Linked DNA regions of Mus musculus: all the other regions are reported to be linked to region 1. The links are microRNA targets in miRTarBase. Many come from high-throughput screens and were not tested one by one. Region 1 holds a microRNA gene; each other region holds the end of a gene's coding sequence.

Region 1 (4,152 bases):
CAAGGTTTCAGGCTGGGGGAGGGGAGACTACACAAAGGGGAAGGTGGCCCCAGAAGGGCTGCCCAAAAGGGTTCAGGACAGCAAAGATAAAATATAGATTTAATAAATTTTAGCTCAGGAATGTGGGAGGGGAGTGTGTTAGCTATGTGGAGGTTCAGGTGAATGCTCTCATCCAGTGGTTGGATGAGAGCATCCACCATAGCAGAAACAACAATATGAACCAACCAGTAGCCCCAGAGCTCCCAGGGACTAAACCACCAACCAAAGAGTACACATGGAGGGACTCATGGATCCAGCTGCATAAGTAGCAGAGGATGGCCTTGTTGGACCTCAATGGGAGGAGAGGCCCTTGATCCTGAGAAGGCTCGATGCACCAGTATAGGGGAATACCAAGGCAGGGGAGTGGGACTGGGTGGGTTGGTGAGCAGGGGGAGGGGGATGGCAAAGGGGGTTTTCAGAGGGAAAACCAGGAAAGGGGATAACATTTGAAATGTAAATAAAGAAAATATCTAATTTAAAAAAAAGAAACATAGAAGAGCTTAACAAATTACCACAACTTAATACTCTACCAAGAGCAAATATAAACTGGCATTGGGAATAAAAAGAAAAGAATATTAAAAACAACTGGAAGAGGGGGCAGTGAGTGGAATATAAAGTGAATAAATAAAATGAATAATTAAGAGTATAAAAACAAATAGTCCATAGGAAGTGAACACTCCTAAAGGCATATATGTGCATGTTCACAAATACACCTTTTCATTGTGCTATGTCTAAGGCAGTCATCATACCTTTCAGGACCAACATACAACACAGACAAAGACACACTGTTGTACATGCATGCTGATTTGTACACAGGAGAGCACGCCTACAGATTTGCTTTTTCTCTTCCATGCCTTGAGTGTAGGACCGTTGACATCTTAATTACCCTCCCACACCCAAGGCTTGCAGGAGAGCAAGCCTTCTCTTCTCTCTCCTGTGCATAGGCATGACTGCATATACATCTACAGCAAAGACATGTCTCCTCTCTCTCATGTGCTCTCTGTGTGGCGCATATATATATATATATATACATATATATATATGTATATATATACACACAGCATTGCCATTCGCTATCTCTTCCAAGTGACTTTCCTGCCTGTAATGCCCCTCTTGGTCCGCATGTGTGTGTTCCTCCTGCCTTACCCACCATCAGTTTCATGTAGCTGGTTTGTTGTTTCTGCGTGATCCCTGGGCTGCTTTCTGTTGCTTTTTCCATAGAAAGTACCTACCTGTTGTGCCAAGAGAGTGAACCCTTCCCTGCTCCCTCTCTCACATCCCTTGCATGGTGGAGGGTGAGCTCTCTGAAAACCCCTCCCACATGCAGGGTTTGCAGGATGGTGAGCTTCAGCTTTCCTTGCTCTCTTGTGCATGGTGGACATATGCATACACAACTTCATAAAGAAAACCCCACATACCCAAGGAAACAGCCATCTGTCCTGTCTTCCACCTGACATGCACATCTCACAGTTTTCTTTCTCCAGGGAGGGCTCATGTGTCCCATGCTGCCTTTGAACTCCCTGCATAGCTAAGGATGATGATGGAGCACTTTTTTTCGAGACAGGGTTTCTCTGTATAGCCCTGGCTGTCCTGGAACTCACTCTGTAGACCAGGCTGGCCTCAAACTCAGAAATTCGCCTGCCTCTGCCTTCTCAGTGCTAGATATAAGACTGGAGTGGCTATGCCTGGCTTGATGTTCCAATTCTGATCTTCATGCCTCTTTGTCCTGAATGCTAGGATTATAGGAATGTACGCCTGGTTTCTGCTGTGCTGGGGATGGAACCCAGGGTTCTGTGAGTTCTAGGCATACTTTTATCAACTGAGTTATATTTCCAGCCTTCTTACCTTCTAATTTTGTATTGTATTTTGTACAGAGTATGGACCCTTACCTTTGGTGACAGTTATTGCTTAGAAAGAAGGGAAGTCTTTTGTCCTGGTCTTGCTTTTCCTGTATATAGGGGAGCAGAGAGAGCCTTCTCAGGACTCTCATTCTCAAGTTAGCTGGAAAGAAAGCCATCTAGCTATTTCTCATAAGCTTATGCTATGAGGAAATTTGCACGTACTTCTTTAGATGCATTTGTTCACATATATACTAGATTTCAGGGAGTGGAAAAACCCGCACTGTGTCCTGCTTTCTCACATATATATTTCTTTGTGCAGGAGAGTGTATGATAGCTTTAAGACATTTATTTGGATAGTTCTTTTTTGTTTGATACTGAAACTCTTTCTCTTGAAAGCTGGAACTTTTTTCCTCATCCTGTTCCAGACCCAGGGTTCACAGCTGATTTGTTTGGTAGGCTATTCAGCAAATGTCGCTTGGTTATCTTTTTTACTTTGAGTATTTTCCTATGCACCCACGTACACAGCACTAATCAGGGCTATTAGGGAGATGAAGGCAGTAAACAAAATGATTAAACACGCAGTGGGTCATTGTTGCCCAGGAGAATGAAAAAGCAAGGGAAACAAGTATGTAATGCGTGGAGTGACAATAGTAGGGAAAGTGGTGGCATTTCAGTTTCCAGTGGAGCCTTTAGGAAAGGCTGCTGTGTACTGAGAGCATCAATGCCATTGAAGCAGCAGCAGAAGTGTGGAAGGCTTCAGTCACAGATGGAGGGAAGAGCACTGATGATTAGTGTGAATCTGCACAAAAGGAAGGATTGTTTTCTTTTTGTAATCCAACAAAAGTCATTGTGCCATTATCATGTTTAGAAATAATTACCGATTCTTTGACATCATATATCCATTGTTCAAATTTCCATTTCTTTTGGAGGTATCATAAACTAGGATCTAAATAAGACCCTTGCATTAATTTCATTGGCCAGTATTTTAAGTGCCTTTGAATTATAAGCCCGTCTTTACCTTTTTCCTCATACTTATTTGTTGGAAGAAAGTAGGTCATATATCTGCGTGGCTTTCCACAGTCTTGTGTTTTTATGAGCACATTCCTCTGATGTAGCTTCCATGCTCCTTTTATTTGCATTTCCTATTAATTGAGAGTTGTATCCAAGAGCCTTATTAGATTCAGGCTTAATTTGTGGGGAGGAAAGAACTGCCTCCATTCAGAGATACAGGTCTTTGTGTGTTACGGTAGTTTGCCATTGATGCTCAAATCCTAGAGCCATTATTTCATTAGCAGTTGTAGAATGGTGGCATTCCACTATTCACCCTCCTGTTAATTGCTGGGTAACTTCTGTAAAGTAAAAACTTCCCCTCATTTACTATTTGATTACCTACTAATAACAGTTTTCCTAAGAAAGAAAAGGTAAATGCTTGACTCTCTTATCAGGGCTAAAAATGAGTTATTGCAAAGATATGCATTCAAAAACTATTTTGATAAACACAGGGATTTAAATGTATTTAGTTTTTCCCTCATTGCAGTTCTTCTCTGCAGTGAAGCCCAAATCTTCCATCTTCTGCCAGTGTGAGCTTCTTCAAATATGGTGTCACATGTCTGTAACTCTGCACTTAAGGTATGAAGACAGGAATATCATTGCAAGTTTGAGGCTACCATAGGCCACTTAGTGAGTACTGTGCCAATATAGACCCTGTCGCTGAAAGTCAAGCTTAGTTGGCCTTCAGTCCTTTGGCTCTAGTAGTTACTTGATAACTTCTCTGCCTTCAAGGATGCAACAGTGCTTCTTACTCATTGTCATCATCACTCTGACATATGACATGCTTTCAACAAGCATTTGTTTCCTTAAGTCAGATAACGTATTAGAGTTCATATATTATGTGGGCATCAGAGTTCTCATTGCATCTGGATTGGTAGTTGTTTTTAAACTTCTTCATGATCAATAGTATTAACAAAATGTTTGTCTCATACTGTTAGTAATAGATAAAATATATTATTCAGCTTAAGTTCTTATTTATAATTCAAAGTTAGAGTTATTAGGGATTTAGATATTTAATTGTTTCATAACCCTCGTTTTGACTGGGCAAATCAGGAGAGTTCCAGAGGCCTACTAGGAAGCCACTGAAATAATATAGGTATTGTGAGGTCCGACAGGCTTGGGGAGGTGGTGATGCTGACAGTGGTGAAATGTAGTTATGAATGTACTTCAAATGTAGAGCAATTTGGATTTTCTGATGTTGGATATGAAGTATGAGAGAAGT
Region 2 (4,000 bases), not on the chromosome of region 1:
TGGACATCGACTGTGCAGATGCTGTGTCATACTCTGACAGCAGCTGCTTAGGCCACGGGCCCCATCCTCCAGGTTAGACCAGTCTCCTGGCTGTTCCATCGTCACCCTATCTCGACTCTCCATGGTGAAAACATTACAGGTAAAAGACTTCAGCACAGATTACAGTACCTGGTAATGCTATTCACCTTAACACTGCTAGGATGCAAGCAAATCCAGGTCTGTGTCATCCACAGCAAGAGTGGTGTGGTGCAACCTAGAGCCCATCAGAGGTGGGTACCTATGTATACAAGTCCCACCTGGCTTTGTCAGCATTCTATATATACACCTTCAGTGTTAGCACAACCTGAGCAGAGTAAAAGAGCCTGCTGGTTTCTACCTGATCCTTAAGCCAGTGGCCTAATGTAATTCACAGCAATTTCTGTCCATCTGCAGGACTTGTCCACTTTAAAGACTAAATAGCACCTTTATGAACGTGATTGTACTGCAAACTCAGAATGGCTGGTAGTTTCATATGTAGAAGTGTGTGTGAAAGGCATGTTAACATACTTCCATAAGACACCAAAGAAACAAGGCCTCTAAGCTGGGTGGGGCAGGATCTTCACCTTTCTGTTTGTGTCAACTCGTCATACCCAACTCTAGGGACCAAAACCACCCCCTTTGCATTGATCCGCTGGGAATTACAAGCTCTGCCAGATGCCACAGCACACAGTGCATTTCTGTTAAAAGGAAAAAGCCAATTATGTCCATCCACACTTCTCAAAAAATTTGCGGGAACCTTAAGCAAATCCAGAATTAAGGCTCAAGTTATCTATAATCAAGTAAAAATAACAAACAGATGCATGTAGAATGGATGTGGTTTTTATTTACTCTGAATTTTTAGAAATCATAACTGTTTTAAAGCTTGTCAAATGAATGACGTATTTGCAGCTTCAGACTCACAACACCTCACCTTGCTCACTGGAGTCAGATTTTTGCAAATGCAGGCACTCCTGTCCCTGTCCCAGGATGCTGTCTTTTACTATTACGGTGCTGCTGCTCTGTGCCACTGAGACCTCCCACCTTCAATATTAATAATGGTAGCTGAACCTTCCAGCAACCACCCCAACCACAACTGCAAGAAAGAGCTTTTTCTGCCTCGGTGGACAGCACTGAAGCATCTGCATAGATGCAGTGTCTCCGATGCACTCTGGGAGGGAAAGCAGATACACACACATTCCAGAGACTCATCAGGCGAACGGCTCCTTGTAAGGAGTACTGTGATACGAAGGGTACGACTACCACAACAGCTACTTAACTGTGGCGCTGTGTGGGGGGTGGGGGGTGGGGCATGGCTGCTGGAGGAGCTGCTAAGTAAGCACTAGACCTGCTCCAGTGACTCGTGAGACTCACTTCTATGAAATACCCGAGACAACTATGGAATTTTTTCTGAGCTAGAATGATGTGGCTCATTGCAGATGGTGGACTTGATGCTCAGTGACCATGACTTCGAGCCTGATCTGTCTCTTCTAAGTATGCAGCAGGCACTTACTGTAACTACTTGTCTTGAGTTGCATCACCTCTGTGGAAATTGGGATGAACATCTTACACCATGCACATCGAGGCCAACCCTTGAGTCCATGTGACTTCAGATGACAACAGTGCAGCTTAGATTTGAAATGAGTGACACGTTTACAAAACAATCAGAAAACATTTATTACACTGAACTGTACATCCTATAACCAAAGTAGCAGACTGCTGGTGCCATGGGCCAGGTATAGTTTCACTGAGACGGCCTAGCACTTTGTGCTGCTCAGCACAAGTTCAAGTCTGAGGAGCCTGTAAGTACTTTCACCCCACTTCTAAAACCTGATAATGAATTCAAAATAATACACAGCATTAAATGACATTTATTGTTCCATAAATCATGAGATCCAAAAAGGAAAGCTAAATAGACAAGCAAAATTCTAAAACAATTAGGAGATAAGTCCACTTCTTTCCCAAGTAAGTGAATGGTACAGAAAGCATGTGGTCACACAAAGCAAAGGGAAGGACGGATGGGAGCGCTCCCTCCTAAAGGGCCTGCAAGGCTACAGCACTGCCAAACCCAAGAGGAAAATTATCGAGACAGTTTGTTTTGTGGCAAGTAATTAATCCCCAGTATGAATAAAACAAGCTGTTAAAGCCTTTACCCATTGAAGTAGTCTGTCTTCTGGAAGAGATTTCATTTAAAATGTAATTATTCCTACCCACCTGAACAACAAGGGTCAGACAAGCGCATTCACAGCCAGCAGCTAAGCAAATGGGCAAAGATGCTACAGAATTAAAATGGAAAGAAGTTTTTAAAAACTCGGATATGCCACAGGCCTCACGAGAGGTCGTGAGAGAGAGGAGAGGTGATGGCCGTGTGCACGCGTGACTCACAGGCACACCTGCTACAGACAAAGCATGAACGATGCAGAGTACAGAGCCCCCACCAGCCACCATCTAGCCATGATTGTACTGAAACTCGGTATTTGGGCGGGGGGAAGGTTTATGATACATTTTAGTGTCTTGTTATGACATCTAGTGTTTCCAGGGTAATTTTGTCTCATTAAAAAAAAAATCCCTTTAATATCAGAGACATGATACTGTTTCCCCATCATCTAGTTCTGAGGTCTGGGAAGGGCTTTAGACATGTTTAAGAACAGAGTAGGCACAAGACAAGGGAGTATACACACCTGGAGGCTCAAGTAGGGGGTGGGGAGACGAGAAAAGGAAACCACATGAGTTTAAAAGGCAAGGAGGTTTCAAAGGTGAAATCCAGAAACTAAAATGCTAAAACTGGAAGCCCAAGCCAAACGCCCAAGCCTCGGTACCTATTAGGACTTACACTGACCTCGCACACGGAATGGCTGACAGGGAGTGCAGTCTGCTCATCTGCTCGGCTCGGCTCGGCTCGGCTCGGGTCTAGCAGGACCCCTCTGATGTCCACCTTCAGGAAGGAGCTAAGCCTCTTACCTGACCCATACGGCCGTGTCACCCAGTACAGAGCAGCTCCCCCAGAGGCAACTCTATCTCCTCCCCAGGCCAGCATAAGGTTCAGGCAACAAAAGCCAAACTGGCACAGAAAGGTAAATGCCCACGGTTGAGTTTTACATTCAATTCAAACTGCATACAGTGTGAAAAGCAGCAGCAACTGCTCTGGGGGGTTCTGTCCACTGGCCCTTGCCAGGGAAGCAAGTACTTGTGCCCACCACGGTAGAAGCTGGGTCGAATGTCACCTGACATGCTCGCTCGCTCGCACAGGCTCTCTCTCTCTCTCTCTCTCTCTCACGAGGATGCTGGGGCTGTGGCAGTGACACTGAGGAGATTTGCCTCTCCTGCAGCTCCTTAGGAAGGTCATCTTGTGTTTTCAATATGAAACATTTCACAGTAAAATCCAATCCCAAGACTTCTTGGATTCAGTCTTCACACACTTTTAAGCATGACTTTATTTGGTACTGGATAGAGTTCAGTCCGTTTAAGGTATCACTTCAAAATTATGTGAATACCATCATTATTTTCAGCTGCAAAAAAAAAAAGAGGGGGGTGTTAAAACTTCTAAGCTTAGAAGAGATACAGTATTAAAACTGACTGCACTGTTCTAGCTCCTCTTCCCTCAGACACATTCCCTGTAACTCTGCTCAGGGAGCCCAGCCTGCATCATTTGCCAGCTCTATCTACAGGGCAAGGGCTTAAGAGAGCAGCAGCAGATGCACTTGTATGCTAACGCAAAATAGGCCAAAGCACCATGTGAGGGCAGAGCTGAGAAAGCCCTGCAGAAAATGTGCAGGCAGCCTGCAGGTTCTGCTGTAGATGGGTCTCTTTGCTGGAAAACTGAACCCTCGGAGGTAGATATAGCAAGACCTAATGGCCTCAGGAAGTCCTGAGACTCAGTGAAGGCGTCCATGTGGACAGAGAGCGCTAAGGCTGGAGAGACCCTGTGGGAGCTAATGCTGCAGCGCTCCCCAGACTCACAGGTACGTGCTCTCCAGGGGACATG
Region 3 (4,000 bases), not on the chromosome of region 1:
GTCAGAGGAGGGAAATGACTCCAGTAGCTATGGAGGGTGTTTAAAATGCTCCCCAAGGTGAGCAGCCAGAACCAATGTTCGAATATGAAGTAGACCATCAGATAGGTGGGCACTCCACAGACAGGTTCCCGAGCAGGTGGAGGCACTATGTGTTGCTTGACTGTGGCTCCGGGCTCCAGGGACTCAGTGGCCAGGCCTCCAGAGCAGGTGAGTGCCGAGGGGTCTGGAAGTGTGGAGGCCCGGCTTCTGGTACAGAGGCAGTAGGAATATGATGGTCTAGCTAGGTGACAGGTTTCCATGCGTGAGAGTCTGGGCTGTGACCATGAGAGTGGCAGTGGGTAAAGTACACAAGTGCTCACATGGAGATGGTCAAGGTTCTGGGAGTTTCCCACTGAGAATCCTCCCCACTGAGGTCACCTGAGAGGGGAGCAGAGATTGGCAAGGAACATACCTAAGTCCTTGATGAGCACAGCCTGGTAACCCACAGACGCAGACAAGAAACATTGAGAATAAGAGACAGATGGCCAGATGAGAGCGACATGAACCCAGAACTGCAGTCTACATGGGACACACTTGTGAGACAAGCAAGTTTCAACCACTTCAAGCCTGCCAGGCATTCAGAGGGTGGTCTGCAAAGAGAGTGGGGTCTTTGAGCAAGAACACGGGATACTTCTATCTTAGTGGCAGTCAATAAGAAGTAAACATCTGTGCTGTAGCCATATAAAACCTATGCACCCACCTTTTCTACCAGGTTGGTTGCATTAAGGACATTCAGAGAATCACAACAGACAGTTGTTCTGACTGGGTAGCATTTAATATGATCAGGTCTTAAATAAGAAGCCATGAACACAAACATTCAAAACCAAATACATAATAAATAATCATTAAGTTATAAAGTACATCATTCATATTAAAACTAAATTCTCAGGTGTGACTGTAAATAAAACAGAGCAATAACATAGATCAATAATGCTATGAATTTATTCACAAAGAAAACACTTTCAGCTACAGTATTAACGGCCATAACTGATTTCCTCTGAACTCCTATGACCTACAACAACCTCTCTCTCTTTCTCTCTCTCTCTCTCTCTCTCTCTCTATATATATATATATATACATATATATATATATATATATGTATATATATATATATATATGTATGTATGTATGTATGTATGTATGTATATCCCTTCCCTTTTTGAACAACTAAATATCACACTTGGGATAAAATTTAACTCAAAAGTGTGGTCAGGTGTTCCTGTAAGAGTACTCAAAACATTAAAACTCAGACATACGAAGTTCAGAATAAAATACAGAATAGACTTAGGAAAGCCCCACATTCTTGTTCTACAGATAAGAGAATGAAAACCAAAAAAAGCTTACACCAGTGGCAACCTTCATGGACACACAACAGTGTGTCAGGTCCAATGTGTTCCCACCCACAGTGAACAATAATGTCAAAGGACTGGCTGAGTCTTGAGCACAGAGAGGTTCAAGACTGCTGTGCAATTTTGTCTAGTTTACTCTAAAGCGTAGCTTTCCCATGGCTAGTGGAGAAGCCTTCACTGGCTTTTCCAAACGATACAAGCTCTTAGCCTGTGCTGCATTGAATTATTTGTACTTCTTGATTAGAAATTGTCAGTGATTTAAAAGGCTAGAACAATAAACACACCAAAATAAATACATTGTCTTAAATATAAAAATCACAATGTCAAGAAGTCAACAGTTACACAGCCAGAAACAACAAAAGAATAAAACATGGAGACTCCCCTCTCTGTCCATCATTGCTTTGTGAAGGACTGCATCTCTGCTTCAGCTTTCGAGCAGCAAACTCAGCAACCAATGCTAGCACCATTGGACACTTACGTGGGCTATGTGTGTATAATGTCATCAACAGTCACACATTTACAGTTACACAAGTTCTTTGCAATACATATTTTTAAAGTTTAAGAGAATGCGTTGGTTCTGATTGTGACACTTTTCTGGGAATCAGTTAACACTAGTCTGTGCTATCTTAGGGCGGTACACGGGATCTCTGCTTGTTTTAAAGGCACTGTGAGGTACAGACACCTTTTTCCTTAGATCAAAACCATCCCCCAGGCCATGCTTGGATCTCAGATCCATTTTAACCATAAGAAATTCTCAAAGCGATGATACCACTCCAGGGAAAATAGCTTTGTAGACTTTTTAACTTGACATTGAAACATACTGTTGGAAATTATATCAAATGGCAAAACTATTTGCTCAATTTAGCCTCTGTGGTTAAAAGATTGGGATGTTCAGTAAAAGTCTGTTTAAAACTGGAACAGAACCTCTGGTCTCTTGGCTCATCTCCTGATTTTGATTTTAAATAGATGGTTGGATTTAACTTATCAAAAGTGTGCATGCAATGTGTCTTAAGTGCTGAACTTGTTTGGATTGCTTTTTCTTAGAAGTTTCAAAGAGGAAAGAAAGGAAAGGATGTGGGAGAGGAGACTGAGGCTGGAGCTAGCAGATTCATCACAGGACACCCATAACCACTTGAGGTGAGAGCTACAAACTTGAAAATTCTACTTGGCTCCAGAAGATAGTGAGGTTTGCACTTCCACAGGCTTTCATTGCCATCTTCACAAGATTAAACTATTAGCTTATAAAGGAACTTGACATTGGGAGGAAGGCAACTTAAGCCTGCTTCTTACTACACCCTTGCCTCTTTAGAAAAACAGTGAAAGCCAGGGGTGACCCTCATAATAGGTTAAATTTTGATAGACCTAATAGAGAAGAAAAACTGTACCTATCTGGAAAGCCTCTCTTGTAGAGTATAAAGATGTTAGTTATCAATATGCTAGATGTTTGTGGTAATGAGTAAACTCTTCAGACATGCTTTCAAGTACAAAGTTTTTCTTAAAGAATAAAGACTTCAATTTTCAATTTCATCTTATGCTTATTATTTCCAGCTTACATCATTCCGTTAGGATCATAAGAGGTCTTACTCTCGCAGATCGACAAATTCCCTAGCTGTATTTTTGCTAAAAGCTTTAGTTTTCCCCTTCCAATCAAAGAATGTCACAGTTGGGCAATAAGATGAAGCCACAGCTTGAGAAGCACCAGAAATCCCTGACACGGGAAGCTGGGCTCTTGTTGAGTTGAGATTTTCCATGTTGACAGCATGGAGTCTGTGCAGGGAACCACAATGTCTGCTTAGTTAATGGGCGAAAGGATCTTAACCTATAGCTTTTCTGAGTTGTTCTTATCATAACGTATCGTACTTCTCCACTTGCAATCCCAAGAGGCAAGATGTACTCCTGCATTCGTGAGCGTCTATAGTGTCCGGCGTCTCCTCAGTCCTCGGGAATCTTCTCGGATCCTCAGGAATCTTCGGGTCCTATGTGTTCTAGGAGAGATGCTGATGAATCATCTGTGGGAACGAGAGCCTATGAGTCACTGGGCACAGGAGGTACCCGGACACAACATGGAAGTGAAAGAAATGCATTTAAGGTGCATACCTTTTGAAGGAGCCATTTTAGTCTTTCTAGGAATTCTTTGGGTGTCCTTTTCTCATACGAATCACAGGAAGGGCATTTCTGTAAATCAAAATTAATCAATTAATTAATTAATTAATTTTAAAACTTTAAAAATTATTTTTTAAGAACTAACTTCATACTTCATAAAATACTTATGTAAAATTCATTTCTTCTCTTGTGAACATAAATCATATTCAGTAACAAGCATTAGGAAAATTCTGTAAAATTGTTCTGGAAACCACGTGTGATTTTATCCTCAGAGACAACTCTGAATATTTTGGTGTTTAAATTATTATATCCGTTTTTTGTCCCCTTTCTTCCTCTTCCTCTTCCTCGCCCTCCTCCTCCTCTGCATTCTTGTTACCCTGGTTGTTATATGCTGTTTGCTGTTAGTTTTTAACCAATTACAAGGGTTTCCTGGGCTTTAGATATGCTTTCAGGGCAGGATTTGTGGTGGCTGCTCTGTCGCTCCCCCTCCCACCCACCCCCACCCTGCA

The links. Region 1 holds the annotated microRNA mmu-miR-188-5p (CAUCCCUUGCAUGGUGGAGGG, at 1,315-1,335, shown strand). A microRNA usually pairs through its seed, bases 2 to 8, with sites in the 3' UTR of a target mRNA and lowers its output. Matches are read on the target gene's strand: a 7mer-m8 pairs with bases 2 to 8, a 7mer-A1 pairs with bases 2 to 7 and ends in A, and an 8mer does both.
Region 2: the mRNA of Ubp1 is a reported target of mmu-miR-188-5p. Seed matches in the 3' UTR shown: 7mer-m8 at 2,581-2,587.
Region 3: the mRNA of Il21 is a reported target of mmu-miR-188-5p. Seed matches in the 3' UTR shown: 8mer at 1,185-1,192.

What each region holds. Positions count from the first base shown.
Region 1 is chrX:7,245,214-7,249,365 of GRCm38, reverse strand. Mir188 (microRNA 188) reads left to right here and starts at 1,310; the gene lies at 1,310-1,377. All of the region lies in intron 2 of Clcn5 (chloride channel, voltage-sensitive 5), which reads left to right. Mir532 (microRNA 532) reads left to right here and starts at 869; the gene lies at 869-964.
Region 2 is chr9:113,974,870-113,978,869 of GRCm38, reverse strand. Ubp1 (upstream binding protein 1) reads right to left here. Exons shown (of 16, transcript NM_001372510.1): 16 at 843-3,524. The coding sequence ends at 3,487. It overlaps Fbxl2 (F-box and leucine-rich repeat protein 2), which reads left to right. Exons shown (of 15, transcript NM_178624.6): 15 at 1-1,912. The coding sequence ends at 37. Among named protein-coding and RNA genes, the nearest start is that of Ubp1, 46 kb to the right of the region's middle.
Region 3 is chr3:37,221,964-37,225,963 of GRCm38, forward strand. It overlaps Il21 (interleukin 21), which reads right to left. Exons shown (of 5, transcript NM_021782.3): 4 at 3,486-3,563; 5 at 796-3,397. The coding sequence ends at 3,374. It overlaps Gm36168 (a long non-coding RNA gene), which reads left to right and starts at 2,434. Exons shown (of 4, transcript XR_389693.2): 1 at 2,434-2,525; 2 at 3,270-3,477.